Macaca fascicularis: one gene and its partner. The protein of the gene in region 1 purifies or fractionates together with the protein of each later gene. This does not show direct contact. Links are inferred from orthologs where the notes say so. Each region holds a gene or a part of one and is shown on either strand. Other genes may lie near its edges.

Region 1 (3,761 bases):
ACTGTTTTTACCCTCCTGTTCATTGGCTGGCCTTCGCATATGGGTTCACAGATATTAACCAGATAGCCAGCTGAGTTAACAAACTTTCCAGGAAGATACTGATTGCATGTCCTTATCTACAGGGGACCCAAGTAACAGGGAGGAAAGCAGATGTTATTAAGGCAGCTCACCTTTGTGCTGAAGCTGCCCTACGCCTGGTCAAACCTGGAAATCAGGTAAGCTACTTTATCCAGTTCCAAAGCTTGGTTGAACCAAAGATGCATTAGACACCTGTTGCTTCTCTATATGAAACTACCAACCTCCCCTATAGACCCCTTATAAAACAGCTTTTTAAAATTAGATATATTTGGCTGGGCACAGTGGCTCACGTCTGTAATCCCATCACTTTTGGGGGCCAAGGTAGGAGGATAGCTTGAGGCCAGGAGTTCAAGACCAGCCTGGGAAACATGGTGAAACCCCATTTCTACAAAAAATACAAAAATTAGCTGGGCATGGTAATGTGTGCCTGTATTCCCAGCTGTCAGGGAGGCTGAGGTGGGAGAATCACCTGAGCCTGAGAGATTGAGGCTGTGGTGAGCTATGATCATGCCACTGCACTCCAGCCTGGGCAACAATGAAACCCTGTTTCACAAAAGAAAAAGGAAAAATAAGCATTTGCTGTCCCCACAAAACAGATTAGAATGCCACGTAAAAAAGGATAAACACTGAACTTATTATAGGCATGTGGTGGCACATACCTATAATCTCAGCACTTTGGGGGGCCAAGGTGGGAGGATTGTTTGAACCCAGGAGTTTGAGACCAGCTTGGGAAACATAGCGAGACCCGTCTCTGCAAAAAGAAAAAAGAAAACCCAGGTTCTTTTTTATGACTAAGTTCTTTCACTTAGTCATTTAACCTGGGGCAAATCATTTAACCTGAGACTCAGTTTCCTTGTCTTCTAGATTGGGATATACATATCTGCCCTGTTCACTTGCAAAATTTATTGAAGTAGACCATCTTTGTGAAAGCACAGGGTAAAATGATATGCAAATACACCTGGTCCTCGGCTTGATGCCACATTCAGTAGAAGCTATGCTTTGAGTACCCATACAACCATTCTGGTTTTCATTTTCCATGTAGTATTTAGTAAATTACATGAGATATTCAACACTATTATAAAATAGGCATATGTTAGATAATTCTGCCCAATTGTAGGATAATGTTTTTTAAGTGCTCTGAGTACATTTAACATAGGCTAGGCTATGATAGGTAGGTTAGGTGTATTAAATGCATTTTTGACTTAGTGATATTTTCAACTTACAATGAGTTTTTTTAAGATATAACCCCATTGCAAGTTGGGGAGCATCTGTATAAAATATTTTTAGATTGTAAGGATAATCAAGCTATGAAACGAAAAACCAGTGAATGAGTATCATTGGGTCTTGATGGACGATATTAGAAGGCTCAGTTCTGTCAGGTGCGGTGGCTCATGCCTGTAATCCCACCACTTTGGGAGGCTGAGGTGGGCGGATCACAAGGTCAGGAGATTGAGACCATCCTGGCCAACATGGTGAAACCCCGTCTCCGCTAAAAATACAAAAATTAGCTGGGCGTGGTGGTGCATGTCTGTAATCCCAGCTACTCAGGAGGCTGAGGCAGGAGAAGAGCTTGAACCCAGGAGGCAGAGGTTGCAGTGAACCGAGATCACGCCACTGCACTCCAGCCTGGCGACAAAGCTAGACTCCATCTCAAAAAAAAAAAAAAAAAGAATGCTCAGTTCAGTTCTTTTATGCTTCTTATTCTCATTGTAGAGAACTTATTAGCTCCTGATATCTCACCTTTTGTTTGATGTTGTACTTCTAGAACACACAAGTGACAGAAGCCTGGAACAAAGTTGCCCACTCATTTAACTGCACGCCAATAGAAGGTGAGAACAGATAACAGGGTTGAGGGTCTAAGAATGAGTGGCTTTGCCGGGCAAGGTGGCTCACTCCTGTAATCCCAGCACTTTGGAAGGCCAAGGCAGGCGGATCACCTGAAGTCAGGAGTTTAAGACCAGCCTGGCCAACATGGTGAAACCCCGTCTCTACTAAAAGTACAAAAATTAGCTGGGCGTGGTGGCGGGCGCCTGTAATCCCAGCTACTTGGGAGGTTGTGGTGAGACTTGAACCCGGGAGGCGGAGGTTGCAGTGAGCTGAGATCGCGCCATTGCACTCCAGTCTGGGCAATAAGAGCGAAACTCCATCTCAGAAAAAAAAAAAAAAAAAAAAGAATGAGTCGCTTTGCAGAATTGAGGCTTTTGCCCCCTTGAAGATCTATCCAGCTATAACCCAGTCTAAGCCAGAAATCTCAGGGCCCTGTGTTTCCATCACCAGGTAGTTTTCTCACTGCCTACCCCTTCAAACTACTGAAGTAGGTAGATTTGGAAATCTTTTGGGATACTGGATAGCTCGTTCCATAGGTTGTGTCCTGTCTACAGGTATGCTGTCACACCAGTTGAAGCAGCATGTCATCGATGGAGAAAAAACCATTATCCAGAATCCCACAGACCAGCAGAAGTAGGTGCCAACCCTATTCATCACCTTCTACCATACCAGACTAGTCATCAGGTTTTTTTCTATACTCCCAACTGAATCTTGTCTACCCTTTACTCCATGCTTTCAGGAGTGACCTGTTGCTCTTAATATTTCCTTTCTCTAGGCCGGGCATGGTGGCTCATGCCTGTAATCCCGGCACTTTGGGAGGCTGAGGCAGGTGGATCACCTGAGGTCACGAGTTCGGAACCACCCTGACCAATATGGCGAAACCCTGTCTCTACTAAAAAATACAAAAATGAGCCAGGCGTGGTGGTGTGTTCCTGTCGTCCCAGCTACTTGGGAGGCTGAGGCAGGAGAGTTGCTTGAACCTGGGAGGCGGAGGTTGCAGTGAGCTGAGATTGTGCCACTGCACTCCAGCCTGGGTGACAGAATGAGACTGTGTGTCAAAAAAAAAAAAGTTCCCTTTCTCTCTATTCCTTTTAGGAAGGACCATGAAAAAGCTGAATTTGAGGTACATGAAGTATATGCTGTGGATGTTCTCGTCAGCTCAGGAGAGGGCAAGGTGAGGAGAGTACCAGAGTTGGCTAAGAGGGGTGACTGAGAGTGTTCACCAGACCAAATGTTACTTAAATTACCCTTTCAGGCCAAGGATGCAGGACAGAGAACCACTATTTACAAACGAGACCCCTCTAAACAGTATGGACTGAAAATGAAAACTTCACGTGCCTTCTTCAGTGAGGTGGAAAGGCGTTTTGATGCCATGCCGTTTACTTTAAGGTACTACACTTAGCAATGATAGTACATGGAACCAGTCTGACTCACAGACCATACACCCAGGAACACTTTTTCCTCTCCCTTCCTGCCTAGACTTGTAGCGTGCACGTGCTCACTCCCTCCCTCTCTCTCCCCATCTCCTTCTCACTGAAGGTAATGTAAAAGAGCAATCCTAAGCATGATTTCTGCCTGAGGGTAGGAGCTATTTTAAAATATGAGCAAAATGGTAAGACTTGACGGGGAGTTAAGGATACCTCTGAATATCATCTTCCCTGCCAGAGCATTTGAAGATGAGAAGAAGGCTCGGATGGGTGTGGTGGAGTGCGCCAAACATGAACTGCTGCAACCATTTAATGTTCTCTATGAGAAGGAGGGTGAGTTCTAAAAAGGAGCTTCACTTTGGATTCCCTGATTATATGATATCCTTCCTATAAATTCAGAAGAGCTAAGTATGACAAAGGAACTTTTTA
Region 2 (3,600 bases), on another chromosome or scaffold:
GCGATCCTCCTGCATCAGCCTCCCAAAGTACTGGGATTACAGGCATGAGCCATCGCGCCTGGCCTTAACAAACACTTTTCTTTCTTTCTTTCTGAGACGGAGTCTCGCTCTGTCGCCCAGGCTGGAGTGCAGTGGCGCGATGTCGGCTCACTGCAATCCCCGACTCCCCGGTTCATGCGCCTCGGTCTCCCAAAGTGCTGGGACTGCGGGCCTGAGCCACCGCGCCCCGCCTGAGGTGATTTTTAACAAGTACAGCCGTAGCTGCAGGTATCCTGGTTCTGTAGGAACAATGAGGTATGGATGGATCCATACCTGGACCCATGGATTGGATGGATCCCAGGCAGGCCCTGGACGGAGGGAAATGCTCTGTTGCTAAGCCCGGCATCGAGGGAGGCCCACCCTCAAAGCTAACCGTGGAAGTCACTCCGGCCTCCTTCGCCCTGCCGCCGGGGAACCCTGCCGGTGGCTCTCGACCTGCTCCCGAGCCATCTGGTGACACTGACTTAGCAGCCACCACCTTAATTGGCGCATTCGACGCAAATAACAACCAGGGAACCTGTGGGCGGTCAAAGGCCCGGCTTTGCGGTCGGCCCGCCCAGGCCCCTCTCCTTGCCCTGTGAGGCCAGAAAGTTACTTCTCCGAGGCCGTTCCCCATGACGAGAAGTATCTCCCGCCTGAGGTTCTGTGGGGTAGGGGAGGTTCGTGCATTTCTCACAGAAAAACCTCGCACAGACCCGCGACTGCCTTTATTAACGGCTCTCAGAAGGCTGCCTGCAGCCGGGGGTGTCTCCAGTCCCATGCTCGCGGGCAAGCAGGGCTGAGCTGTGCCTCCGAAAGGGCCAACGGGAACTCCGCGGTCCCTGAACTTCCGGGGCTGGCGGGCTTCTTTCTCCAGGGCCACCGGGAGCCCCGGCGTGAGTGCGTGCCGGGGCCGCGCGCGGGGTCTTTGAGGAACTCCAAGGCTGCCCGAGCCTAGGGAGCCAGCCACATTGGAGATCCCTAGACCGCCCGATTCCACCACCCCCGAGGTCCCCTCACAGCCGGCGCCAAAAACGCCAGTCCCACGGCGCAGGCCGGGACCCGCGCGCCCACGGCCCAATCAGCGCCCGCCTTGCACAAAGCGAGCCCCGCCCCCACGGCACGGCTGCCAGCCCCTCCCCCTCCCGTGGCCGCCTCGGCCCGCCCACTCCCCGCCCCGCGCCGTTCTCGGTTAGAGGCTCGCGATTGGCTCAGGGGGACTGCCGCGAGCTCTGGTTGGTCGGCACGGAGTCACGAGGGCGCCGTCGTCGCCTTTCCACAGGCGATTACTGGGCAGGCTCAGTCTTTCGCCTCAGTCTCGAGCTCTCGCTGGCCTTCGAGTGTACGTGCTCCGGGATCTTCAGCACCCGCGGCCGCCATCGCCGTCGCTTGGCTTCCTCTGGACTCATCTGCGCCACTTCTCCGCTCCACACTCCGCCGCCATAAGCCGCCATCATGGTGAAGCTCGCGAAGGTAAACGGCCTTGAGCGCGAGCGCAGACGTCTAGGCCTGCTCTCCGAGGGGCGAGCGCGGCGGCGCGGGGAGGAGGGCCTGCGCGCAGTCCCGGGCGCGTTCTAGGGCGCCATGCTGCGGGAAGTCTCGCGCGATTAGTGGGGAGGTCTCGCGGCTTCTGGCTAGTTGGTGGCGAGGTGAAGAGCTTCTGCAGGTGCTGGGGGCGGCGAACGCGGCGGGAAAGACGGAGTTACTGAGCGCGGGGAGGGGGCGCTGGGCCCCGGGGTGGGGAGATGAGACCAAACTCCTGCGACGCATACGAGTCGGGACCCGACTCCTGACGCACGTGCCCGGGTGCGCGGCCTGCCACGTGGGCCGCGCCGCGTGGGTCCTGGAATCTCCAGAGGCACCGGTGCCTTGCGCCAGGAAATGGCGGTATACGTCCTAGTCGGAGTCCTGGCCTGGCAAGCCGACACGTGGTGGGCCCCGGAAGGTGGCTCTGCCGCGTGCCTTTTGCGCCGTGTTTCGGGCACGTGGTGGCCTACCAGGTACCCCCACGTGGCCGCGCCGCCTCTTTAAGGGGCGGGGTTGTCTTGCTGGGAAAAGCATAATGTTCATGAGAAAACCAAGGTAGTTACTTCTTACCTTCGGGCGGGTTTTCTGTTTGTGAAGCCCGGGAGGAAAATTGTGGGCGGTTGAGAGTAGTCCATCTTGCATTGCCATCAGGACTCGTTTTGATGTTGTGCTGTTTGGCACTATGAGAAATGGATCTGAGAAAGGAGAGATGATGGCGTTTTACTATGAACAGTAATGGCAAAATATGAATGGCCTGAAATGTTGAGGTGGAGGTGTAATGACCTACTTGTGTCCATTTTAGGCAGGTAAAAATCAAGGTGACCCCAAGAAAATGGCTCCTCCTCCAAAGGAGGTAGAAGAAGATAGTGAAGATGAAGAAATGTCAGAAGATGAAGAAGATGATAGCAGTGGAGAAGAGGTAATTTTATCTAGCTTAATGCAGAATTGTGTTAAAACTACAACAATGGAGAGTTAAGACATGAAATTGGATGTCTGTGGCTAAAATAAGATTTTATTCATCCAGGTATGTCCTATTGTAGTGGTGGTTTCACAAGCTCTTCACTGACATGTCAAGGTGTCATTTGGCTAAGTATTTGAATGTGAGTTTGAGACAAGAGGTCTGGGGATCTCCTTTCCATGTGCCTCTGCAGGGCAAGGAGTGTGATTTGTTGTGTTAAATCATTAAATTTTTCCAGTTTCAACATGTTAGCCTCACCCCGACATGTAGAGCTGGGCATTGTATTCAGATCTGAGGATAACCTTCCCAGATTCCTTTCCTAGCCTCCAATTAAGATTAATTGGTCTCCATTCCATTATATATAAACTTTGTAATTCTACTCACTGCGTTATAGTTATCTTTGGTGTAGACTGAGGGCTGCCACCTCTTTGTGTTAACATTGACCCTCTTTACTCTTTGGCAGTCCTGGCCTTTTATTTGCTCACTGTAAAGACATCTGAGCACTGAATTGTGCTCAGGTTTCTCGTTGAGAATTGAATAAAAGTTTTATTCTTCCACACATTGCCTAATAAAACTATGGGATTTTCATGTAGCTAAACGATGGCTTTTATCAAACTAACATGCTCACTCTTTGATGTGTGATAGTTTTGTAAGGGATAGTTATGTTTAGCCTATTTGATCTTCATTTTATCTCAGGTCCCAAGAATTGAGCTTCACTGGACTCAGTACTGCCATCCACCATAGGAGCCCCAAATGATTTAATACGTTAATGCTTGGAGCCTCCTAGGTGTAAGGTTCTGAATAATTTACGCATAGCAATTCATTATTGTTATACGTGTAATATGATACTATTACCATTTTCAGATGAGAAAGTTGGGGTTTGGGAAAATATGAGGTGCAAGAATTCAGAGGTCTGGTTCAGAGGTATTTTAAGTGTTCAAAAGGGTTCCTTATGGCTGGGTATTCACCTGATAATAAGGGCTCTGACCTAAGACAACATAACAGAAGCCTGGAGTTTAACATGCTAACATGTGTCTAGCGCATGTGGTCTTGAACCAGAAGCATTGCCAGAATCTAACACTCACTGGGACCATGGT

The links.
Region 2: the proteins of PA2G4 (region 1) and NCL purify together in Homo sapiens (affinity purification with mass spectrometry; 3 studies listed by BioGRID and IntAct, with this or other methods). This does not show direct contact. The link is inferred for Macaca fascicularis from reciprocal best matches to the Homo sapiens genes PA2G4 and NCL.

Annotation. Positions count from the first base shown.
Region 1 is NC_088385.1:62,892,916-62,896,676, forward strand, and holds part of PA2G4 (proliferation-associated protein 2G4), read left to right. Parts: intron 1-122; coding exon 123-215; intron 216-1,843; coding exon 1,844-1,907; intron 1,908-2,459; coding exon 2,460-2,538; intron 2,539-3,000; coding exon 3,001-3,079; intron 3,080-3,160; coding exon 3,161-3,294; intron 3,295-3,570; coding exon 3,571-3,665; intron 3,666-3,761. UniProt on the Homo sapiens protein: May play a role in a ERBB3-regulated signal transduction pathway. Seems be involved in growth regulation. Acts a corepressor of the androgen receptor (AR) and is regulated by the ERBB3 ligand neuregulin-1/heregulin (HRG).
Region 2 is NC_088386.1:127,383,356-127,386,955, reverse strand, and holds the start of NCL (nucleolin), read left to right. Parts: upstream 1-1,332; 5' UTR 1,333-1,473; coding exon 1,474-1,491; intron 1,492-2,347; coding exon 2,348-2,464; intron 2,465-3,600. UniProt on the Homo sapiens protein: Nucleolin is the major nucleolar protein of growing eukaryotic cells. It is found associated with intranucleolar chromatin and pre-ribosomal particles. It induces chromatin decondensation by binding to histone H1.